4 linked regions of the Caenorhabditis elegans genome follow. The protein of the gene in region 2 interacts with the protein of the main gene of each other region in a pairwise test. Each region holds a gene or a part of one and is shown on either strand. Other genes may lie near its edges.

The links.
Region 1: the proteins of nhr-31 (region 2) and ceh-14 interact in a two-hybrid assay, tested with the Caenorhabditis elegans proteins (one large-scale study listed by BioGRID).
Region 3: the proteins of nhr-31 (region 2) and lsy-2 interact in a two-hybrid assay, tested with the Caenorhabditis elegans proteins (one large-scale study listed by BioGRID).
Region 4: the proteins of nhr-31 (region 2) and let-391 interact in a two-hybrid assay, tested with the Caenorhabditis elegans proteins (one large-scale study listed by BioGRID).

What each region holds. Positions count from the first base shown.
Region 1 is NC_003284.9:7,527,249-7,534,362, reverse strand, and holds ceh-14 (LIM/homeobox protein ceh-14), read left to right. Parts: upstream 1-1,630; coding exon 1,631-1,736; intron 1,737-2,501; exon of another isoform or gene 2,502-2,650; intron 2,651-2,879; coding exon 2,880-2,970; intron 2,971-3,027; coding exon 3,028-3,132; intron 3,133-4,197; coding exon 4,198-4,314; intron 4,315-4,358; coding exon 4,359-4,447; intron 4,448-4,506; coding exon 4,507-4,589; intron 4,590-5,140; coding exon 5,141-5,224; intron 5,225-5,274; coding exon 5,275-5,410; intron 5,411-5,458; coding exon 5,459-5,536; intron 5,537-5,580; coding exon 5,581-5,747; 3' UTR 5,748-6,594; downstream 6,595-7,114. Other genes in the region: F46C8.3 (US6), read right to left, coding at 7,110-7,114. UniProt on the Caenorhabditis elegans protein: Probable transcription factor, modulating expression of helix-loop-helix protein mbr-1 and homeobox protein ceh-63, perhaps acting in concert with ceh-63. Binds to a motif including the sequence 5'-CTAAT-3' in regulatory promoter elements.
Region 2 is NC_003282.8:8,023,512-8,031,283, reverse strand, and holds the start of nhr-31 (Nuclear hormone receptor family member nhr-31), read left to right. Parts: upstream 1-1,770; 5' UTR 1,771-1,861; coding exon 1,862-1,968; intron 1,969-2,626; exon of another isoform or gene 2,627-2,773; intron 2,774-5,246; coding exon 5,247-5,524; intron 5,525-5,607; coding exon 5,608-5,762; intron 5,763-6,038; coding exon 6,039-6,520; intron 6,521-6,620; coding exon 6,621-6,894; intron 6,895-6,939; coding exon 6,940-7,113; intron 7,114-7,313; coding exon 7,314-7,463; intron 7,464-7,772. UniProt on the Caenorhabditis elegans protein: Orphan nuclear receptor.
Region 3 is NC_003284.9:2,087,854-2,093,758, reverse strand, and holds lsy-2 (Zinc finger protein lsy-2), read right to left. Parts: upstream 4,056-5,905; 5' UTR 3,960-4,055; coding exon 3,933-3,959; intron 3,755-3,932; coding exon 3,614-3,754; intron 3,563-3,613; coding exon 3,457-3,562; intron 3,405-3,456; coding exon 3,248-3,404; intron 2,833-3,247; coding exon 2,749-2,832; intron 2,698-2,748; coding exon 2,602-2,697; intron 2,543-2,601; coding exon 2,366-2,542; intron 1,497-2,365; coding exon 1,388-1,496; intron 1,287-1,387; coding exon 1,191-1,286; intron 1,135-1,190; coding exon 1,030-1,134; 3' UTR 506-1,029; downstream 1-505. Other genes in the region: col-164 (Nematode cuticle collagen N-terminal domain-containing protein), read right to left, coding at 42-270. UniProt on the Caenorhabditis elegans protein: Involved in transcriptional regulation. Required to specify left-right asymmetry of the ASE gustatory neurons, probably acting upstream of microRNA lsy-6.
Region 4 is NC_003279.8:6,036,798-6,041,796, forward strand, and holds let-391 (C2H2-type domain-containing protein), read left to right. Parts: upstream 1-1,605; 5' UTR 1,606-1,633; coding exon 1,634-1,660; intron 1,661-1,739; coding exon 1,740-1,852; intron 1,853-1,897; coding exon 1,898-1,976; intron 1,977-2,026; coding exon 2,027-2,227; intron 2,228-2,321; coding exon 2,322-2,440; intron 2,441-2,744; coding exon 2,745-3,057; intron 3,058-3,468; coding exon 3,469-3,667; intron 3,668-3,867; coding exon 3,868-4,178; 3' UTR 4,179-4,470; downstream 4,471-4,999. Other genes in the region: C27A12.4 (C2H2-type domain-containing protein), read left to right, coding at 1-684; szy-5 (C2H2-type domain-containing protein), read left to right, coding at 4,877-4,999.

The sequences.
Region 1 (7,114 bases), on a different chromosome or scaffold from region 2:
TTTAGTCTAGACAAATACAAGCAATATACTATCACATATTATTGTAATGATAGAAGTAGTGAAAAAGAAACTCACACAGAAATTGCTATAAAAATGATCAACCGGAACATTACCAACTTACATTGTTTCATGTTTATTTTTGTTATTTATTAAGTAAAATAATTTATAAGAACTTTTTCTAGTAGTCTTGTACCACAATTGTTGAACATTGAAAGCTCAAAGTTGTTGCTTTGTCGGAACATTTTCAGTCGGAACAAGTGCCAAATATGTGTGCTTTTGATATTCCAATAGTTTAACAAATTTGAATAGAATCCAAAACTCAAGATATGAGTTGCCACATAAGAGCAGTAAAGATTTAAGCTTAATAGAAACAATACTAATACGGTAATACGTATATTTGACGATAATTTTTGAATAGACATTTTGAAGCTATTTTTGTATTTTTAAAACTTCCATGAAATTCAATCATCGGGTTACTTTACTAAATAGTTTATATTTTACTTATTCATAGTTTCGACTGTTTTGTATTTTAAGATCAATGTTTACTACTGTTAGGCTCCTCAAGTTGAATTTCTGTTAATTCTATTGTTTCCAAGATGATATTTCATTCTGAAACTCTACTCCTGAAAATTCAACAATTGTTTTCATTTAAAATGAGCAACTGTAATTTTCTATTCATTAAAGTATTTTTTTTACCATTTAAAAGGAACCCATTCATGAAAAGTTCAATAGTTTCTAATAATGCAATAATCCACAAAAACATGTTCATGCCGCAATTTAATTTTTTCTTGACCTAACTGATCATTTCATTTTCTCATTTCATTTCAAAAAGCACGCAATATTAATGAAACTAGGACACCCTCTCTTAATTGCTTTTGACATCAATTAAGTTGAAATGTTTCTTTCTTTTTTCAAATTTTGCACTTTTTCAATCATTTTGAAAGTAGAATATAAACAAAGTTTTTTGGAAAGATGCTATTGCTCCGAAAATCACGAGGAACGAGCGGATTTGAGAGGATTTCTGAATTTATCGATGATAAAAACAATCTTCTTATTTTCGCGGCCGTTTCTGTAAAACATTTGCTTAGATGTGATAAGTCATTTGAGCAACATTCAATTAGTGAACTTTAGGTTTGAATCCATTGTTTCGGGAGATGTATCGTATCCCAGAGCTAAGAAATGCACAAGAGAGCATGGCTTCTTACCCGCTCATTGGCGTGAGACAAGAAATGGGCGGGACTTTATTTTCGGGACATTCATGGCTCGTGGAGCATAACATACACGTAGTCTCAAGAACCGACTAACGACATTTTTTCTTAACTTTCCATACGAGTTTGATCATGAGTCTGAAACATTTGACTAGGCTTTTTATAAAAGTTCATTAGCTATTCAAGCTAGCGTGCGGTTTTTTTTTCATGAATACTTTTTTTTTCTGAAATTAGACTTTTAGCTAATCAAATTTTTTCTTTCTTTTTCTTTTTTGTTTTCATATAATAAACAAAAATAAAGAGAAAATAAATTACATTATATCTTTGGTTTCGCTTAAATATTCACCTCAACTAAATCGTCAGAATCGTCTATCCCGAATTCGACTCGCTATGTTTATTTTCAGAGGCCTTTTTCAACAAACATGCTGGGACACAACATTTTGACTCTTGGCGAGTGCGATGAGCTGGACAATCATATCGTGATGTGCAGCACCGGGCTTCTTTCTCCGCAGGAAGACTTTAGTAATGGTAGGTTTGGAAACATATTCTTCGGATATACTCGATTAAAATAAATAGGTATTTTTTGTATCTGTACCCCGAAATGTTTTCAATTTTTCCAAAAATTAAAAATGTTTTCTTTTTGTATTTTAGACGCAGGAGCAATCATGGTTATTTACGTGTTGACATCATAGAATTTTATACACTGAAAACATATTGGGTAACAGCTAATAAACAAGTACCATATATTGCTCGTATTTATCAAAATGCATAGTGTGAAGAATTGATTTTTTCAGAGAATGCCAGCTGTTGAGCTGCAAATTTGTTTTTTTAATCACAAACCCCTTAAAACCGGGACAAGGGACTTTTTAGTAAACATCTAGAAAATTAGTTCAACACCATTTCGTGAAAACATTTCATACTTCAGAATCATAAGCAAAAACGTATTCCCCATATTCTTAAGTCATACGACAAAAAGAAAAGAAAAAAGTCCATCCTTGTCATTTCGCTTCCTGTCCTTTTGAACATTACCGACAACTACACCATTTTTCTCTCATACTTCATATTACAATAACAGTAGCCAACGGCAGTGGCCTTTGTCGCTTATCACTTTCTTCTCCTCGCGTTTTTTTAGTTGACCATCCTTTTGCCTATTGTGACTCAATATTACACACTGGAAACGTTTTTCGAAACCTATCACACCTTTTCGCGCGTTCTCGGATACCTCGTTTCGGGCCTCGTGTTCGTATTTTCTGTGTCTCTGAGCAACAAAAATAGCATAATATTTTTGCTAATACTGGACCATCATTCTTCTGGAAATTTGATATTTTAATGGTTGGTCACACCTCCGCGCATCATCCGTACCTTTAGCAGTTTATGGGGAGGACGCACACCTGCAAGCTTCTGGCGATGAGCATTGAATTACCGTTAGGTTCGTTATATCCCTCCTCCTGTTTTCTCTCTTGTTCCTCCAACCTGTTTAGCCACAAATTAAGTAAAAACAGTAGGAGTCAACAATATTATGACAGAATATATAAGGTTTAGTGTGTAGCAAGGGAAAATGGACAAGACAAGGAGAATGTCAAGCATAAAGCATGTGTCAAGAATATGTGTCAAGAATGGGTATCTAGCCGACACGCCGCTATATGAAACAAGTTGAATTATTTATTACAGTTAATGCAGGCCATCCGAATAACGAAGAAGCCATTTGTTCGCTTTGTGACAAGAAAATAAGAGATCGGTTCGTTTCAAAGGTCAACGGAAGGTGGGTTCACTGTTCTTCTCTAGTATTTTTTTCTCGACAAAGTTTCATTCTTTTCAGATGTTATCATTCATCATGCCTCCGATGTTCTACGTGTAAAGACGAGCTTGGTGCGACATGTTTCCTGCGCGAAGATTCTATGTATTGCCGGGCACACTTTTACAAGTAAGATGGTAGTTTTAGCTTTTTTTGGTATCACAGAAATGCGTAGTGCGGCTTTTTAGCTTTCTTACTCACATATTTTGAAATAGAACGGAGAAGTGTATGATAACAAAACATTGTCTTTGAAAGCTTATGTTTTTTTTTTTTTTAATATTTGGTGCGAAAACATTTTCAACCAGAAGAATAGAATTTAAATTCAACTTGGAAACTAGGGGATAGCTTTTTGGTAAATCTTAGAATAAAAAATTAGAGAACGATTTCAAACATTCAATGATAATAATAAAAATTTAAAAGGTTTTTTTGAGTAAACGTTCAATTTTCTTTTATAATATAATATCACAGCTCTCTGACTTCAGATTAAAATTTTTCTTTAAAAATAGATGACTACAAAAAATATGGTTGCAGAGTATCACTCTAATAAAAAAAAAGTTAATCTGAAAATTATTCAGTGCGTTACCGTAAACTTGCTCCAATAAGGTTGATAATTTTATTTATTACGGTCTTAAATTTCTTAAAAATAGGAAAGCATTCCGTGAAAAAAAAACTTTTGAATTTTTCCGGAAAGTTCTCAAAACGTTTTTGATCGAGTTTAATGAAAAAGTTTCAGATTCAGTAGTATTCAAAATATTTTTATAATACTCAACCTTGAAATCATCAGAAGTCATATCAGAAGTCATAGAAGAATTGTTTTTAAGAGTGAACAAAAACATCGAAAAACTTTCAAATAACATGGGTTTTCTTTTTTGGAAATCTATATGTGAACCGAAATATTTACTTGTCATTTATGTCATTTATAAAAAACAAAAGAAAATTAGAATACATCTGTCAAAATAGTTATAGTTGTAGAATTTATTATTCGATTGAATAAAATCTTAATACATATAATTTTGTACATTGAAGCAAATGAGTTTGTTCATGAAATTACTCGTACTAATAGTTTTCGTTTCTACCAAACCCACCCATAACGTTATTTTTTCAAGTGCAATGTTTCAATTTTTGCATTGTAAGTTTTGATAGCTGAACTGCATTCGTCTTCTTTTTTTTCATTTACAAAACTCATAACTTCAGAAAATTCGGTACCAAATGCTCCTCCTGCAATGAAGGCATCGTCCCGGACCATGTTGTTCGAAAAGCATCGAATCATGTCTACCATGTTGAATGTTTTCAGTGTTTTATTTGCAAACGGTAAACTTTAAACTTATTGCTCTGAAACTTGCATATTTTTTCAGATCTCTTGAAACCGGAGAAGAGTTTTATTTGATTGCCGACGATGCGCGACTCGTGTGTAAAGACGATTATGAGCAGGCTAGAGATAAACGTAAGTGATCAGTCCTCCATAAAGAGCTACTCGATTTTTCTCAATAGTCTCGCTTCCAGACTGCAATGAACTAGAAGGCGATGGTAGTAACAAGAGACCACGGACTACGATTTCCGCCAAGAGTCTAGAAACCTTGAAGCAGGTGAGCTCTTTCCACTGTTTTTATCATTGATGAGGTGAAGTCATAAAATAAAGCAAATCATTTTTGTAAAGCAAGACAGCGCCGTAGATTGACAAGAGCCACATAAAACCGCAACACTCTGGCGCCATTTGTAATAGAATTGAGTGCAATCCGCTTGTCAGATTCTTTAGTGAGTGAGCATTTCACAACAGAAACAATTTACTGTAATATTAGTGTTACCAATTATAAATTCGTATTCCTTAAAACATTACAATATAAAATATAATATTACTATACAATCGAAACATCCGGAATTGTCTGTTTAGCAATTTCAGGTGCGATCCATACTTTTATTATAAGTGTTGCAAGTGATAATTAAGATAACTTGTTTTAAACAAAAGTTCTCAACAATTTGAGCAGAGTTATTAGACCATTACGTGTACAAAGCCAATAGAACTTACTAGACTACTTTTTAATTCGTCGTTCTGAGTGCACGACTAATAGGAAATCTGCTCTACACTTCAATATAACTATAGATGTATTATTTCAAATGTTTAGATTTATTATTTCAGGCATACCAAACTAGCAGTAAACCAGCTCGACATGTCAGAGAACAACTCGCTTCAGAAACTGGACTTGACATGAGAGTTGTTCAGGTAGCACTTGCCTTATCAAGCGGCTTCGCTAATGTTTTATTTTTTATCAGGTTTGGTTTCAAAATCGTCGAGCCAAAGAGAAACGGTTGAAGAAGGACGCTGGTCGCCGGTGGAAGTCCTCAAATCGTGCAGAAAGCGACAGCAACTCTCCTATCGAGAGTATCAACGGGCAGAGCCCTAATTACTGTGAGAAATTTGAAGCTTATCGCTAAGCTTTTCATTCTTGTTTTGCAGTATACCTGGATCACCCAATGGACGATGGGAACGAGAGCAATTACCTTTTTCACTCCAGAGAGCAGACACCTGATAAATGTAAGGGAATATGAATATAAACTGAAAAAGTTTAACATTTTCAGACTACCGAAACGAAACCCCATCTACCGATCCACCTCCAATGCACATGACAACTCCGAGTGTTCTAACAACCAACTTCTCAACCCCATTATCTTTATCGACTAATGTTTACAACCTTCCTCCTCCTGAATCTCAGTTAATCCCACACATGACTCCACAGTACATTTGAACTGGAGAAAAACAAAAACTCTAGTTTTCGATTACATTTTAATTTGATACTTGATACAACGTTCCGGTTTGGAGTAACGAATGGTATAATATGTAGAATATAGAAATGGTTTTTGAATTAATGTAGCCACAATTGTGAGGAATATCTTACAAAATCTTTATTAGTGGTCTTGAATCTTTGATGATGTTTTGATATTTGAGCAGAAACTGTTTCCTGGAATCATATAACTTTACAAGTACTCTACCTCACAAAATAGACGACCCCCTACTCACCAAACAGCCATGAGACATGCTTGAAACATTTTCTCTCTTGCCAAAAACCTTATCTATTCCCTGTTTTCGTATATCTCTTTATTTCTCTTTTCGTTTCATCACAGCTGTTTGCCCATGCACCGCAGTTTTCAACATTTCACCACTTTCTGAATAAATAGGTCCCTTGCCCGTTTTGCTTCTTCCAATACCCCCTCGCTCGCTCGTTTCATACATCTCATAGTCAATATTCGTGTGAGGCCCCCACTCCTCTCCTTCTAAACACTTGTTACGTATCCCTCGACACCTTGACCATTCATTCTTCATCAATGGTGGATGTGTAACACTTATTTCGAAATGTATGATTGATGGTGTTCTTCATACTTTTCTCTCACCCCACGCCACCCCCCCCCCCCCCCCCTTCCCTCCCATCAGTGTTTAATATCCGATCATCGAATTGCCAAATCATTTTGCCATATACCTTTTAATAAATCATGACAGGAATTGTATAAATTTGCCACCAATGAATGCACATCTCGAACCAATAAAACCCATCAATCAATTTGATATGGAATTATGAAAATTTAAAATAAAATCTCTCTCTCTCTCTCTCTCTCTCTCTCTCTCTCTCTCTTTTAAATCGTGTATGTATAATGATCACATGCAGTTAATTTTCGTTCAACAATCGAAAAATTGGGCGATACCCATTTTTCCAAAAATCCCGAAATACGGCACACGATCTTAAAATTTACGTGTCAAAGGAGCTGAATATTATAGTATTTTTAAAATTTCTGAGTATTGGTAATAGACACTGTTTTCTGGGAAATGTGGTTCAAAACCATTGGTTAAAACAATGTGAAAGTCATAAACCTGGTACATTTCACTGAATGAATAATCTTAAAAATTAAAAATTAATTTAAGGTTTAATGTTTCAAAACGTACATCAACGTTTATTCAATAAAAATCAATACAAAAACAAATTTTGGCATCATCAGGATTGAGGGTTTCAGTTTATATATATTACTAAAAAAAACGGTAAAACAAAATGACAGAACATAAAAATGAGAGTTTTTCGAACAATTTTCAAACTTGATCACTTGAAAATTTGAGCAAATCATG
Region 2 (7,772 bases):
ATGTGTCCCCCTATCGCCCAAAATCCCGTCGTTGTTACGTTACTATTCAGGCGGAACACACACAGTCACCAGAACCATCATATTTTATTTGTTTCTTTTTTCTTTTCCTTTTCTATTTGAAACCATCAACTTGGGATTTCCCATCTCACGTCTCAATGTTGCAGAATCTTTAGTAAAAGTCGAAACACAAATATATGATTTATTGGCAGGTTATTATCAGTTTGTGCCAATTTATTATCGAAGAACAGTTTGATTAAATCAAGTAAAGTCAGAAAGTCTATTCAACTTTTATTAAGAATTTTAAATATTTTCTATAATCTCCAAGAGTTCGACTCATATTAATGTGTATTCTTTACATTATAACTTTTAAAATTCAATTTTTTTCGCTTAAAAGTTCAAAAATCTGAAAAGAACAATCGGACAATCGTTGTGGTCGTCATAGAGCTGAAATGATCTACGAATAGTTCAAAGTACTGTATAATCTAGTAGCCATATACATTTTCATAATCCTCTCCGTATTTCTTTTCACCAATCCGCTCCGTCATTTTGCATTTTTAACAAGTTTCGGTTATTCCATATTTTCATTTACATAACTTACACGTTTATGTTTCTATTTCATGTTAATTCCATAGTATTCTGGATGGTTCCAAAATAGTTTTGAATTGTATATTGTTTGAATTGGTCCAACTCCGAGAATTACCAAAAGTTTAGAACATTTGAAGAAAACATAACAATGTTTGGTTATTGATAACATAAATTTTGTTGAATCTTCAAGCTTCATTTATTCATATTTTTCCAAATTTCAAAAAAGGATTTCTAAATTTAAAATGTCCACTAAACAATCCTTAATCTCTTGGCAGCTCCTCTTCTTCACACGTGGTTTTTTTCAGTTATCAGAACAATAATCGGTGGTGTGCCAGCTTGCTGAATTGGCTTGGCAAACTTTTTTTGCGTCCTTCTCCGCCACCGTCACTCGTTATCATCAATCACAAATTTTTGGCTGCTGCCACGTTAGACTCTGATTTGTAAGGGGGACATGAACTATTATCAGAAGCTAATTCTTAAATTCTAAAATGAAAATATTAATTTAGAAAAACGAGAAATAGATAATAAATGGAAACCTACTCTCGTTTCTTTCTCCAATAAATCAAATAAAAATAAGAAAAGTGCGACTGGTTGAGTCGTTACCTAACTTTATCAATATTTGATTAGAACTTAACAATGTTTTTGAAATGATCCACTTGGACGTACAAGAGGTAGTACACATTAAACTGACCGTTCGATTTTTTTTCTTAACTTTAATTCACTTAGAGAAAGGTAAAAGGAATCCATATATAAATTACGGGATGTAAATAATATTTTATTATTAAAGAAAGGTTTTAAAACAAACTATGTAGAATCTAGTCAAATAAGTAATTTTCTATTTCTGGAGATAATTTTATTTAAAATTGAATTTTCTTAATTACAGAGAAATTACGTTCAAAATCTCATTAAAAGATGTGATAACCCGACACCTCAATACATTGACCGTTTAATTTCTTTCCGTTTTCATATATATTTTCATCTAAACACATTCATATATTTATATATACAAATGAAACCTAAACCCGTTTAATAATCCGCCTGACCGTCTATCCATCCTGTCCGTCCGTCTATCCTCCTGTCCACCTTCCGACCACAATTACCGTCCCTTTTTCTTTCATTTTCACCGTTTATTTTTCTGAAATCCGTTGCTTTAATATGTATACATTTATATATACTTTTTTCCAGCAACAACAAATAGAAGAACACGAATTTTAATTTCAATTAATTCAAAATTTTTCCCATATCGACGCTGCCGTTTGCAGCACCATCTGTTAAAATGGAACAACTTGATGTCGAAGATTGGGAGTATTGGGGTGATGAATATCTTGAAGAAGAACCAACTTATGCAATAAGACCTGGTACAAGAGTTGTGAAAGTTGAAAGGTTAGTAAATCGATTATTATAACTTTTCTGTGCATTTGAACTTGCATCATAACCCTAACTTTTTTGAGAATTAATATCAAATTATTAAGATTTATTTGCTCAATTGATCAGTTGGAGATCATTTCATAGTTTTTTCTTTAATTTTTTGAACTTGTGAGATAAATAATTTTCAAAAAATTTTGTTTACCGAAGCCGCCAAAAAATTTTATCTCAAATATATAGCTCTAGTGGCTCTTTGATAAAAACATTGAAAATTGAAAAGAAAAGATTTACTTGAAACCCCATTTAATGCTAAATCTAAATTTATTCAAAGTCAATGTGATACAAAATCCCTTCAGGCCTTAAACTTTTACATCTATTCTGATATCAAAGCATTTGATAGTTTCAAAGAAATTACGACATTTTGGCAATCAATCGCTGATCTTCTGACGTTTTCAGATCAATTGACAATGATTTAAATGAACTTTTGAGCAATTATCTCAACTCATTAGAGCCATTAGATAGTTTTCAAGAAGCTGCAAGTACGTGTTCTATTTGCATTTTAATTCTAATTCCCTTTTGTATAGGACAGAGTCTCCCCTTTGTTATCTTATTCTTGCCCCGCCACGACGCAACAACCATTTTTGTGATAATAATTTGCAATTTTATCAATGGCACTACTACCTCTGATCACCACCATCTCACACATACTTTGTAAAAGCGCGTCGATCGTAAATACTACTGTCTTGCCACTTTAGTAGTAACCCTGCCACGTGGAAACTTTGAAATTTGGCGTGGAAATGAGTGAAGAGGCACGTGACAAGATGCGCGCGAAGAATGATCAAATTGCGATAAAAAGGGATAGGTGAATGATCTTTGTGATTTGAATGCTACTTGAGGAATGGTTTACATGGAAATTGAGAAAAAGTAAAATAAAAGGGTTCAAGGACGGTAATCGATCAATTTGAATGAATGAAGAAAGATATGATTGTGATTGATAAAAGGAATTTGCTACAAGAAACCGAGACGAACTGCATCGGTTCATATGAGTCAGATGTGTTCTTCGGTTGAAGAAGATCACTTAATTTAGTGAGAAGTTTCTTTTGAGATTCAATTTTGATTATATTCTTAGAAGTTTTCAGAAAGACAGTTTAGTATTCACTCCACAAGGTTAATAGCTAAAAGTATTCTCTACTCGATTCGAAAAATAATTTTTGCGGGTTTTTACTTTTAGTATAAAATATTTGAATTTGAAAAAATCTCTAGTTAGTAGTTTGTTCGTGTGCAAAGCTTAAACAGGATAATTAAAGTATTTTAAAATATAATCCAGCTTTGATTCTAGATCACAATTCAGCATCTACTTATAGATAAACTAGTATATGTTAACTTCCCCTATCCTATCCAATAACCTTTTCCTTATTCAGCTGTAAACAACAATTGATACAAGTTATCTTATCTCCAAATGCCTCCTCCAATTTTATGAGACCCGTAAAAAAATTCGATAGACAAAAAGCATTACGATTTTATTTATTTTGGTGACATTTTGGATCCTTGTAGTCAGAGGCTCTATCATTTGATCTTCTAATATATCTTTACAAAAAGGCAATACATCCAATTAGCCCAATTAGTCTGCACGTCTTGATATAAATATGACATCATACATTTACTGATTCGAATCGTTGATTTTTAATTTAGAATTAAGGATAAACAGAAAGAAGATTTAAGTGTTTGATTGGAGAATATAGGCATCCTATGCTAAAAGCTATCTCTAATTTATTACTGACATCATCCGTTTCTCGTCTGTGTTTCATGTATCTTTATCACCTTTCCCTCCTCTAGTAGAATGACCTAGAAAGTGATTGGCAAGTCTGGCAAGCCTACAGGGGGACAAGGGTTATAAGATTGATAGGTAATAAATTCTTGTAAAATGAAGAAAAAAAATTCTGTGCGGATAAACGAAGCGGAAATCATCATTGTGTGCGTGCTTTGAGGAAAGGTTCGCGCCTGTTTACTTGCCTTGTTCGGAGGTCGAGATTTCGGACACGAACCACCTCATATTTTTCTCTCGTTTCTTTTCTTCGATTCTCTTTTTTCCATTACTATCTCTCTTCCTTTGGTTCTTATTTTCTCGACAGTCTCTTTTGGTCAGTATAGTTCCTAACTAGGAACTGTTCGAAATCTGGCATGATAATTCTTCAAAAACGCTTATGAAACTTCAAAAACTCGGACTATTTTACTGTGAAAGTATATACCTCCGTTCGTTTCAACAAAAAAAAAGTTAAGCTTTGAAACTATAGAAAAATTAATAATACATCTGCTGCCAGTTGATTTTAAATTGATTCAATCGAAAATAGCCAAGATATCAGGTGCCAAAGTTGAGCAAGATTAATTGAGAAAATAATGTTTTTGGGAGTGCATTTTTTCAAATATACAAGTAGTTTATCAACAAAAAATTATTTTGTACTGGTGTAATTGATTTAAAAAACAAGTAATTGATGTGAAAAACAAGCTTAAATACTGTTCTAAAATAAAGTTACAGGTGTTAAAATGTTTTAAACAAATTATTTACTATTTGTTCAAAACCTTAGTGACATCTAATCTTTATGTTTTCATTTTCTCTTCATCCTCTCAAGCGTCTTCTGTTTTGTATTCTTCTTCTTCTTTATTTCAAATCAGTGTCTCTTTCGCCTTGTTATCAGTAAATCGTCGTCGTCTTCTCCTCCTTCATCTCCTTTTATTTCAATGTCACTCCCACTTAATTTCCCCCATTTTGTAATATTATCATAGAGAGACACCGCCCCATAGGTATTCCCCCAAATACGTCAGTTTTTCCACGTGGAACTTTTTGGTCTTTTTGATGTGTGAACTTTGATAGTTTGCAACAAATTGAAATTATGAATTTTTTTTATCATCAATGGAATTGGTCACTGTTCCAATGATTTTTTAATTGGATTCTTAAATGCCTTTTGGCTAGAAAACTTTGCACATTTAGCTCCGATTAAGCAATGAATTTTTACAATAACAAAAAAGTGCCTATCGACTTTCAATTCCGCTTCCACACACAAAATTTTGCAATTTTGAAACTGAAAAAACCGTATCAAATATAATACTCTTTTGAAAGTTTAATCACTTGAAAAATGTAATTCCGTCTTCACCAAAAAACGTTGTATTTTCCAAGACACAAATTATTGTGGGAAGATCAAGAAATCAAAATTTCAAGGACACACTCTAGTTTTTAAATTTTATTATTTTTGTGTTTGAAACTAATTTTCCCGATCTTTTAACTTTAAAATTTCCAGAGTTCCAATGATGCGAGGAGATTTAAGGACAAGCGGTGCCACGTCATCAAGTGGTCCCGCCACGTCATATATCATCAGGCCCAGTGACAAGCAACCCACAGTTTCTAGTGGTGGATCACAGAATGGAGATTCAGTTTGTGCTGTTTGTGGTGACGGAATTGCAAAATTACATTATGGAGTACTTGCATGTTATGGATGTAAAGGATTCTTTAGAAGAACACTGACTGGAAAATATCGATATGCATGCAGATTCTCAAATAATTGTATTGTTGATAAATGTAAGTTTTTTAAAGAATAAATTCGAATATACTTGACTGAGTATCTTTATAATCAAGAAAATACCTGAAGTTTCGGTTTTCAGTCCAGCGAAATAGTTGCCGATACTGCAGATTTCAACGTTGTATTCAAGCAGGAATGGATCCAAAAGCAGTCAGGCCGGATAGGGATCAGACAGGAAAACAGAAAGTTCCAAGAATTAAGAAGAAGCAAATTGATGAGGAGCTTTTAAATCATATGGTATGTTTTGAAAATGTAGATACACTGAAAAAAAACTGGTGGCAAATTTAAAATTTCCAAAAATTTGACAATTCACAAAAACTTGACATAAAATTATGGAAAATCTCAAAATGATTTGAGTGTTTTTTGTGATGTTTTCTATTTGTTCTGGAATAATCGAGTGAAAAATGTTTATGCATATTCAAACAGTTAAAATTTAGTTTGTGTTGTTGATAAAATCCAGAATAACTTACACTATACATGAATGATGTATAAATTAATACTTGAAATTTTCAGATGCGGTTACAAGGAGATGATTGGTCACGAAAACTTCCTGTCGAGACTCGAATTTTATTAATGCAATTGATGAGTATTGAGGATAAAGTAGTAAAAGGAGATAATAATATGAGTGCACAAAACACTGCAAAAGATCCAAAAAGTATTTCATTACGGGAAATGTTTGAATCAAAACCTGCATTAGATGGTCGACGGATGGAAATTGGTTATGAACCATTTCGAATGGCAAGAACTGAAGAACTTGGAGTAATTGCTCATAGAAGAGCAATTGCAGCTGTTGATTGGGTTGATTCATTAACTGAAATTGCGGATGCAGTTGATACTGAAGATAAAGTTGCATTGGTTAAAAGTTGTTACTCGCCGTTAACTATTTTCAATTTCTCTGCGAGAACTGCTCAGAATACGAAGAATCCGGATATTTTGTGTCTTTGCAGTCATTCATTTGTTCCAAGAAGATTGCCTCCAGAGTTTAATGAGACAAAGTAAGTTGGAATTTTAATTTAATTCCAATTTTTATCAACGCAATAAAAATATATGAAAAATACTATTTAAAATTAAAGAAAATTAATTTGATTTATTCAGTCATCTCTCAAACTTCCTGATTGATCGAACGTTAAATGAATTGGTGGCTCCATTGAGAAAATTAAATCTGAAAGAAGAAGAAATTGTTCCATTAAAAGCAATTATTATTTTAAATCCAAATGCAAAAGGACTATCCGAGCATGCGAGGCACGCGATTTCTGAGTTGAGAGATAAAGTTCAAGATATGCTTTTCCAAATTGTCAAGGAGCTTCATCCAATCTATTCTGCAAGCAGCCGATTTGGAAACTTGTTGCTTCTTCTGCCAACAATTACTGTTAGTCGTCATTACTGTTGCATTCTCTATTTCAAAACATTTCAGACTCTTTCCGGATTGATGTCTGAAAACATGCATTTCTGTCAAGCTCTTGGAGGACGTGCAAGTGGAGATAACTTGTTAGCTGAAATGTTTGGAGATAGAACATTTGATGATCAACTTATCAGCAGCAGCATTAGCCCACCACTATTCGAGAATCCAGCTGAAATTTGTTTAGAGGTCAGTTCACTAAAAATGACTGAAAGATCAAACTTTATATCATTATCTTTTTCTTTTAATTGTCATTAAAACTATAAACTCATTAAAACTATAAAATTTCGGAGTTTCTCGGAGAATTGAAAGTTGAAATTTGCCAACTACCAACTGATAAATGGCAATGATAAGAGTGTGCAAAAATCTAATTTCTTGTTTGTTTGCAGAGTATCTCACCGCCAATGTCTGATCGAAGATTCGTGAGAAGGGTAGATGTGGCAACACAGACAAATGATGATTTGTTATCATCTGGACCATATCTTCCACATTCAAATTCATGTAGCTCCATGCTTAATGCTGGATACTCTCCTCCAATGGTGAGAGAAGTTTGAAAATATTTATGGAATTTGAGGGAAAATATGTTGAAACTTTCTTGGATAGTAAAGATTCTAAATTGAGGGAACTAGCTTCAATGCGTTTTACACAAACATATTCTTAAGAATATACAAGAAGTTTGAAAAACGTTCAAAAAAGCTCAGATAGAGGCTGTGACTATTATCGATTTTTCTTTTATACAAATCGGTACCTATTTTTGCTAACTCGCTCCAAGTCTCTTAACATTTTTTTCTTGGGAATTTCTATTTCTATTATTAACACCGTTTCAAGTTAAGACTAAAGTGGTCGAG
Region 3 (5,905 bases), on a different chromosome or scaffold from region 2:
TTTGTCAAATATTTTCAGATAACGTTAACATCTGCACTTACATGTTTGTCTTGCAACTCTGCGGTGGCTTTCATTCGTAACAAGCTCCTTCCAGAGCACATTCGAAGTCTCTTCAAAACCAGTTTTTGCAGTTTCCAGTTGAGCAGTCATGTCTCCCATAGTATAGAAAAGGACAGGAGTAGCAGTTACCATAATCAAGAAAGCACTTCCAGAAAGAATGACTGCAAATGAGACAGTCGACGAAGACGACTCCATAGTTTTGTAACTCATTGCTCGAAACAAACAATGGAGAAAAACTTGGTTGATGAATGTTGTACCCCACTACCGTCTTATATACAACATGTGTTATCTAAAACTCTGATCGGTATGTTCCGGAAGTTGTCCTACTCCTTCCCAATCTTCACTTCAAACCACTTTCATTTGTATTATCTGATCCTTGCTACCGCTTCAACAAGTTTTTGCATTTGCATATTCTGGATACCAGGCTATTCATTCCATTTTGTTTCAAACGTATCAAAATTTTATTATTCACTCCATAAATTGAATTATGACACTTCATATTAATCGAACACCTATACAATCGGCTCAAAAGAGAAGAATATATAAAAATAGACGAAATCAGGCAACGGGAAAAAAAGGTAAAACAAACAAAGACTACTACAACGACTATACAAACTCCTCAATAGGTTATACATTAGGTTATAATAATAAAAAACAACGGATTACAAATGGAAATAAGGAGCAAGATATCGCTGGTGTAGATCAATGCCAACAATGATAAACGGCATGCTTACAATTTTGGAAAAAAAAATGATTGAAAGAGCAAGTCTGTCTGTCAATGGGTAGGAAATCTTCAAAAAATACTAATCCCCGAGGTAAGAAAAGAACCAAAAAAACAAGAAGAAAAAAGTACCCCGTTTTGAAAAAGGTGAATAAGAGAAGTTGAAAGAAATGTCATCGAAGGCGTCAAAAATGGGTAAGTGCGCAAGCTGAATTACTCTATCTAAGCAACAATAATAATAATCAATTTCAAATCAACTGTGGTTCCATCATCTGCTGGCCAAAGTTTGCGCCAAACAGCATTTGAAACTCGTCATTCGTTGGTACCAAAATTTCCGGATCTGCTGGCTGAGGCTGAAAAAAAAGTGAGCTTTAGTTATTTGTTCAAATATTAACTTTTGTAAACGTACAACAATTTCTCCAGTTTCAATCAAACTGCTAACTCGCGTGTGGTAGCTCATGTGCTGATTGTAGCTGGCCTCGTCAGCAAATGGTCTATAGCATTTCTGAAAAAATATATATTGTATCGTAAATCCAACAATAATAACAAATTTTCAATCATCCCACAGACAGAAAACCACTCAAATTACAACGTTATAGAACTCACTTCGCAGAAAAATTCAAGACCCTCCCGATGATTTTCGTGTTCGAGTGTGTGATGGCTGACACAATCCATTCTGGTCATGAATTGAGACTTGCACACTGGACAATCATGGCTGAAATTAGGTAGGTTTAATGAAAATTTTAATTTAAACTGTGTAATGTGTTCTCTTCTATTATAATAGTTCTATTAGTTCTATTAGTAATGCACTGCTCGATTTTGGGAGCTTACAACTCAGTTGGTTCAAAAAAATTCAATAAGTATACAAACCCAGGCATATATTAGGAAATGAATCGCACCATGGGTGTGCGGCAAATTCGGCAAATTTGCCATGGTTGTCATACTCAGTAAATCGCAATATTTTTCGAGCTCAAAGAGGGCCAAAATTGATTTAAAAAATAAACTACGTTTACTGGTTTTTGTTCGAATTTTGCCTAATGCGCGTGTGGATTTCTTCAATAAAAAATAAAAGAAACACGATGTTATGTTTACTTTCATTAGGTTTCTGTTCAAAACCATTAGTTTTGTACAAAATTTTTATAAAAATTGTTTCATGTGTGCGGCAAATTTCAGTATTTGCCGGGCTCGGCAGATTCGGCAAGTCTACATTTTTGAAATTTACGGAATTCGATGAATTCGGCAAATTCGGCAAATTTGCCGCACACCGAGCGCTTTTCAGATATTATACTTATACTCACTTTCAGTCCTACATTCACTTTTTGATGCTTTCTATGCTTTCAACAATCTTCCAGCCATTTTAAAACAAATTATAAAGTACGCTCTCTTTTAAGATAATAATTCAATCAAAATTTGACGAAATTTCGTAGCGAAACTGTTGCAAAAAATTTGAATTGATGTCAAATCTTTCTCAAACGCACGGAGAGCAGGTATGTATATAATATGTACCGTAATTCTGAGAATTCATGTGCTCAAACGGCATTTTCCACTCCGATTTCTTTTCAGTTCAAGGATAAATAAACTCACGTCTCGAATGCAATGGACTTTGCAATCTCGAAAAGGTTGCCCCAACGCTCAAGAGACATGTTGTTGAAGATAGTGTCTTCGAGACGTCTGATCTTGTCCTCAAGCTCAACTTGTGGCAGAAGATCTCCTCTTCTCAACTTGTCCACCCAGTGCTCTGGTTCTCCGAGTCCAAGCTTCCTGAAAAAAAACATTCGGTAATCTCACATTTTAATTGTGCATGCTGGATGTCTGCTTACTTCTTCTTCGGACGAGGCGGCGGCGTGTAGTACGGTCCTCCGGCTCCACGAAGTACGATGGCGTCGTCAGGGATGTCAGCAGGCGGCCGACGGTTGCTGAACCGAGATTTTGCCAATACTGGCGTTCCGTTTTTGTTAAGATCAAACCTGGCAAACGGCCTCCAGGCAGCTTCCAGCTCTTCCTTCGTCGTGACGTGTGTGCGAAGATGCTTCTTGAGGTTGCCTTTCAGTCTGAAAAAATTTAAAAAATTTGTTTGTTATTTCTCGTATCGCCTAAATAATTTTTGTTGATTATATTTTTGTGTTTTCTACCCGCAACATTTAGATTACTGTCACGAGTGCCGTTTTGAAATGAGTACGGCATGCATCTTATCTACGCCTTTTTCACCATTCTAACACTATTTCTCTTCGTTTTATCGATTGTTCTACAGTGTCGCCTATGGCATTACGGTGTCTCTCGTCCGTCTCTTTTTCTCTACCGTTTCTCGGCCCGTACACTGTACACACCGTACTGCGCATTAGCAGAGGAGAGTCGACTGTGAGAGAATGAGAATTAAGGGGAAACGGTCGTTTTCGCAACCCGCCACATTTTTATTACTGTACATTTGAAAGAGCACAGCGAATGTTGTTTAAAAAAACCACTAACCGACAAGTTTTTCCACAATATGGACAGGCGTGAGGAGTGAAGCCGGTATGGACTGAACGATGCTCAAACAAGTTCGACTTAAACCTAAATGATTTTGAACAAATATCACATCGGAAAGGCTTCTGATCTGTGTGTATCACTGCATGCTGCTGGAGACCTGAAAACAAAATCAGAGTTAGACAAAGCTACCGTATTTTTCAAAAAATTACCTTTATAGGAAACAAATATTTTGTTGCAAACATTACACTGGTGCACAGCTCGAGGGGTCATCATTCCTTCCACCATCTCATCTTCTTCAGGAAACCCCATTTGATACTGAAATTGATTATGATGCCCCTGAAATGGTTTCAGAATTTTTTTGAGTACCTGAGAATAATCCTGCTCATCCATCATCATTTCGGAGTCATCCATGTGTTGATTGTGGTGATAAACTGACTGATTCGACCCGTGAGTCATACTGGAACTGTTGAATTCAGAGAGGGACTGATCCGCAGAATTCCGTTGACTCTGAAAGTAGAGAACGTCTAAAAAAGTAGGGAATTTATAAAAGATTCGATAAATTGAAATTTGAAAGGAGTTTATAAAAGGAAAGGTTAAAGTACAGAAGCGAAATAAAAATGAAAACATGGGTTTCAAGAGATTTCAAAAAATTTTAGAAATTTTTTTTGAAATGATATCTAGTTACCTGCTTAGCATTTCTTCTGGTTAGCATGACAAAATTTGCCTCAGACAGCTTAAAAACAGCTCGAGACTGCTAGATATTGCGAAAGAAGCGTCGAATTCAAACTATTCACCTTGCCGCCAAGTGCAGAAAGGGTTATGGTATGAGAACGATACGGTAAGAAATGCGACCACTCGGAGGGGACGCGACGCGGCCGCAGCGCAACGAGAAAACGAGACGCAGGCGCGCAACAAACAACAAGGATAGTGAGCGAGAGGACAGAGGTCACCACCGTCGCTTGCTGTTCGTGGTTTTTACATCGTTTCTGATAACTCAGCAAGTGTAGAATTTAGAAAATAATGAGTTTTTTGTGTATTGCGAGTGTTTAGAAAATTAGATATAAAAAATTAAACTGTATTTTTATATTATTTCGTAATAATCGTCATTTTTTACAATTTTTTTTTCAAAATTATAAAGTGCAAATTAAAACATTTTCATTGCAATTTTTCGGAATTTTTAAAATTGTCTTTTTTTTCTAAATAAAATACAATTTTATGAAAAAAATTATTTTAGTTTTAGTCATGGTTTGGTCGAAAACACAAAACAGGTGCAAAAATAAGCAGATGCGTTTTCATAATCTCAGGTGGCCGAGAATTGAGAAATTGGTTGCTAATTTTTGGGCTATGGCAAGTCTTAAAAATAATTTGCATCAGAAATGTTTTATTGAAAGTAAAATTAAGATTTAATTATAAATAGAAGTTAGTGCTTGGAATAGTAAAAGTCAATCAAATTATACATGATCAATAATATTTTTCCTAACATAAAAGACATGTATAATATTGTCACAGCTGCTTTTGGAACTGAACAAAACCCAGCAAAAGACTTCAACGATTTTGGCAAATTGAAAAAAGTTAAATGAAAAAATAAAACCTTGAAATTTGAAATTGGAAATTTGAATGAAAATCGATCAGGACTCAGAAAATCGCATCTATTCGCTATGAACACTATTCGATATTCGTGCAACGCCGTAAGCCCCAGACGAAGAGCAGATGTGCATCTTGCCTGCTGCTCGCACGCATCCACGCTGGCTCACCGTGTAACTCCAAGTATATTGGGAGTTGTTGTTGTTGTTGTTGTTGTGGAGGCAGACGTGGTTGTTGTGGTGTCCATTTGGAATCGGAGCAGCAAACGGCGTGTGTTGTTCATGGAAATTGGACTGGTGCTGCGGATGGTGTAAATTCATCATTCTGAATTATAAAATTAAATGTTTTCGGGTTAATGAAATTGAAAAATAAATAAAATAAGTGTATATTAATTTCGAAAAAAAAGTGTGAAAACGGTTAATAGTAGTTTAATACAAAATTAAAAAGTTAGAGATCTCTTGAATTTTAAAGCTTTAGATTAAATTTAATAAGATTTATATATTTATTGATAATTTATTGACTACAAAGCAAGTTTGTTAACAAACACAACAAAACAAATAAAGATTGACATTTTGTGAAACCTATCAGCATTTATACTATTTATAAAAATACCAATAAGTAGTGTTATATAAATTAATTTACCAAAAATAACAAATTTTTTCCAAATGTTTTTTTAAACCTGAGGAGAAATTTGTGTCTTGTTCAGTTTATGTTCATAAGTTTCACAATTCTAATTGAAAAATCTTGAGAAGGGGAGTTTTGGTGAACTAAAATAAAACAAAACGTTTTTTTTTCAAAAATAATATATTAAGCCAGAAACTCGAAAAATTAGTCTTTACAATTAGTATCAAAATTTTAAGGATACCTAAAGTTTATAGTAAGATTCCTTCAAAGTGAAGTGTTCTAACAAGAGTGTGAAAACTTGTTCGACGTCTCAGAAAAGAAGTACAATCGCCAAGTTGTTCTGGGAAATTAGATTAAGAGAAACGAGCACAAGTTGAGAAACTCCCTCTACTCAGATACTCGGCGAAGAAAAAAAAACGTGAAAGATACTTTTACCATGAAGGGTGCCAT
Region 4 (4,999 bases), on a different chromosome or scaffold from region 2:
GCCCACAACACTCGGAGGACTGGAGGAACTCCTGCTTATGATGATCTTCCGTGTTTCAATCAGATCTCGAGGAAGAAAACATCCTACAGCCACCAGGTTCCGGAAATCGATGTAGAGCTCAACAGTTCTTCCACATCAGCTCTTCCAATTAAAGAAGAGGTTACTACAAGGAGCCCTGCACCAAATATGGGTTTTTGCGAAGTACGCCAGCTCCCAAAAGACTCCAGAGGGCCTCAGAGAGATGGCTCCTCATCTCCTGATGTTCAGTTCATCAAGACTGTGACTATGTCACGGTTAGAGAATGTTGTTCCTACCAGCTCACGTGGAAAGGCGCCAGAAGATTCATCTGCACCAGCACGTCTAGGATTCCTCTCCGATCGTGCGGTCTCCGGGTCATCAATCCCAGCCGTCGAGGAAAGATCTGGAGAAGGCAGCTTCGACTTTACAGGTCCTTCCACTCCTCGCTTGGCCCAGCCAGCTTTTGGGAACTTTTTTGGGAATAGGGCGAGTTCTTCGTCTTTCGGTGCACCATTGTCAACTCTAGCTGTGGACAAGCTGATTCCGGAACCTCATCTCTCCGGAAGCAAAGCGGTCCCAGACCATCGTTTCGATTTCAAACATTTCAGACGTCTCCGAGCAGCGGGAGGAGGGCCCCTCAAGGCGATCGCCGATGTCTCCATCTAATCAACGGGGACGTGGAGCAGGACACCAGCCACGTAACAGGGAACATACACCGAAATCGCCATTGAGAAACCAGAGGGTGAGTAATTTGCAAAATGACCTAGTTTATTCCTCGATCATGCGAAAAAACCAACTAAATCTATCTGTAAATTTCACAGCGTGGTCGCCGAAGCCCCTCGACAGATGAGTGGACCCCCAGACGTTCAGAGCATCACCATCGTCGTGACTATAGAAGAAGAAAGCGGGATTATTCAAGAGATCGCTCACGCCATCACGGAGATCGTTATTAAATTCCATGTTGCATCTCAATTTCTTTTTCTTCGATTTCTCGAGTATTGAGCCTTTATTCACATTCCTTCTCGTATGTTCATAATAAATATTCTATCTACGTTAAAAGTAAAATATTCTATCTACGTAAATCTCCTTGTCTAACGCTCAATACACAACACAAAACATTCGCCTATTTCTTAGACTCGTAAAACTTCCTGATTTCCTTATGAATTTGCATGATCAACGTGCTGCTGTTTCACTATGAACATTTTCTACTCGTATGTTATCCGAACGGCTTTTATCAATTTAAAGATTAAACTCCAATATTTGAATGGAAATGAAGATGTGATGGCAATGATCTATTCATTACTTCTTCTTCTGTCTCGTTAAGAAACAAGATTTCAGCCGTTGCAAAGAATTATATTTATTAAACCCTCAATTCAAATTTCGCGCTCTTTCGAAGACGGGATATCGGAGTGTCGTTGTTTATTTTCAATTTTATTTTTTATTCGCAAAAAATCAATATTTGACTTTTTCTTCTATTTAAAACAGTTTTTGTTGAATTTTTCCTTTCATATAAATATTATTAATCTTTAAAATTTTTATGTTTATATGATTAAATCTTCCTTATTGCCATTAATTGTGTATTTTTCCAGATCCTAAAATTCGATAAACAACCAAAATGAAGAATAACGAGGATTTAGACGAAGTAGTACATTTATCGCAAGTAAAATAACTAATTTCAATTTAGTTTTCCAATTTTCATTAAGAAAATCAAAAATTTTCAGAATTCCGATGCAATTTTCGAGGAATGGGCAGCTGAGTGCACTCCCGACGCGCAAAAAGAGCACGAAGAGCTCGAGGAGATTGTCAAGATTCCAGATTCGACATACAGAAAAAAGTATGAAATTTTTGTGCTAAAAATTTATTAAATATAAAATTGAAGGAAAGGAAATCAAAAGTTGCCGACGGTGACGACGTGCGAAGTATGTGGAGTTGCGTTGAAATATCCATCGAGGATTATGGTACAGAATATTTTATTTTTATAACAAAATGAAGATTTTTATTTGTTCAGGAACACATGAGAACTCACACAGGCGAAAAACCATACGAATGTGACATTTGTGGAATGAGATTCACTCAAAGAACTCCAATGATTAACCATTTTCGTGTTCAACACATGGGTGATCTCCCATTTCTGTGTAATTTCGGTTGTGGCAAACGATTTGTGAATAATTCACGCAGAACTGCACACGAATTAAGCCATAATGGATTGGTAAGAAAAGTTTTTATGCTATAGAAAAATTTAAAACATCGAATCAAGCATTTATATCCTAAAAGATTACCGGAATAAGATATATTTTTTGCAGAAGCGAGCAGGACCGGCACGGCCTTATCTGAAACCAGTTAAAAAGATTGTTTGTCCATCAATGGATATGGATATACTTTCAAATTCTGCACTAGCTAATTATATATCACCACCAACGATGTAAGTATATGCAGAAGTGAACTAAACTTGATAAAATAAATAAAAATTACAACAAAAAACAAGAATTATAAGATTTTACATTTTTTAAAAAGTGAATTGCGGTGTTTAATCAGCAATCTTTAAAATTGAGATTTTAACACTTTTTGTTCTTTAACAAATTTTAAAACAACATTTAAAAAATCGGTGTTTTAATTAATAAAAAACTTTGATAATTTAAATAAAACTCCTGAAAATTTCTAAATTCGAAAACTTCCATCTTATTTCCGAATTGGTAAATTTAAAAGAAATTAAAATAACTTTGCAGAGACTCAATATTTCAAAGTGATCCATCAACTTCTTCCTCTTCACCTTCTCAATTTCAATCATCAAATCAAACAACAAAACAATCTATATATCCATCAGAAAAAGAAATGGAAAAAGCTGCAATATCTAATGCTCGAATTGATGACGTTATTAATACAGTATTGGCTCGAGTTTTGGCTCCGATTGATGAAGAAATTCCGATCGAAGAACCAGAAAAAGCTCCTCAGAAAAGAGCATATATTTCAAATCGAAGAGCAACACTTGCACAATGCAATATTTGTGGATTAATGCTTAAACATCCGAGCAAAATTGCTGTTAGTTTTTTTTTCGATAAAAAACGAATTTTGGTGAAAAATGAAAAATTAAAATTATTTCAGTGCCCACAAGCTGAATTTTTGCTGAAAAATTGAGAATTGGACAGAGAAACAATTTTTTCGATAAAAAGCATTCGAAACTTGATTTTCTGAGCAAACAGAAAAAAATATTTGTAATTAAAATTTTTTAAATCAAAGCTTATAGGTTTAAATGTGTTAAAAAACAAAATTTCCAATTTTCTCTCTATTTATAAACCTCTCAAGTTCTGAAATTTCTAGAAAAATATAATATGATTTATTATATCGAAAATTGTTGAATTTTCTAAACTTTGAAATCAAAAATTACAATTTTTAATAAAAAAAAGAAAGATAAATTTATTTTTAAATACAAATTTCTTTCCCATTTTTCAGGATCATATCCGAACACACACAGGCGAAAAACCATTTGAATGTGGAGAATGTGGCTTGTCATTGTCAAAAGCGAGCTCTTTAAAAGTACATATTCGTCGAATGCATACTGGAGAACGTCCATTTGAATGTACTTGGAGATGTGGATTGTCTTTTGTAACGGATTCTGTTAGAAAAGAACATGAAATGACTGTACACACTGGTAAATATTCAAAATATATTTTACTATCCGAAATTTGGGTTAAAACCGGGGGTAATTTAGAAAAAGAAAGCAATTTCCATTTTTTTTTGTTGCAAATTTTAGAATTTTCTCAAATTAAGAGTGTTATTGAAAATATGTTAACTCAAAAATATTTAAAAGAGTAGTCATCTACAAAAATTACAATTTTTGAAACATTCCAGGTATAAAACGTTACACATGCGTTGTAAAAGGATGTAATGCAGTATTTGCTCGTCGTGTATATCTCATGAGACATCGAAAAAATGCACATCCCGAGCTCTTCACACCAATTTTCGATCATGTTCAAGTGAATCACGAGGAATCACAGGATTCAGTTATTGTTTATGAAGATGATCATGAACAGAACAATCAGATTATAATGCTCACTGGTGATGGTGATGACGTCAAGATCTTGGCTCATTTTGAAGATGATGAAGAGGAATTTGTGGAGCAAGGAGGAAGCATGGAAGATCAAAAAACTGTTCATTTTTGACCAGAAACTTGAAAAAGCTCTTTCATTTTCCAATATCTAGGCAACTTATAGGGTAACTAGCATTTTCTACTTCATATATTCAGTTTTCTATTCCACCCAGCAATTAGTTTTTAAAATGGAAGAGTTATTCAAATTTCAAATTTCTAGGCCACTATTAAATTTTGCATTTTTTAACCATTTTTTTCATTCAAATTCTAGAAAAATTGTGAGAATTAATTCTCACAATTTTCAGTTTATTTTGGTTAACCTACGAGTTTCTTTTTGCTTCTTTTTTTAATAAAGATTTTTTTTCTCAGATTTTTCAAATTTTTTTTCTTTTCCGTATTCAGTATTTTTACTGTTTAATTATACTTGCTTTTTTTTTATTGTTTGCCAATATATTTTGAAACTTTCTCCTTTCGCAAAAATTGAAAAGATGAGATTTTGAAATTTTTTTTAACATTTTCAAACTTTCAGCAAGCTATTTTTGAGCAGTTCGAAAAAATGTAGCGGTACTTTTTTTTTGAGCCCAATTTTCTATAAAATGTTTTAAAAGGGTTTAGAATGTAAAAAACCAATTAATTGTTTTTTTCAAATTTCACAAAATCCAAAACAAATTTTTTTAGATATACCTTTTTTAATTTGCTAAAAACTTTCTAAAGGTCCAGGAAGGCCCATAAAAAATTAACGTCGAAAAATAAAAATCGATATTTTCAGAAATGGCAGAATCTTGTGTAAAACCTCAACTACCTCGTCCTCGAATTCCAAATATTAGAGTTTTTCAACCAACTACTCGAATTCCCACATTTACATATGAACAATTCAACGAATCCGTCGAAATT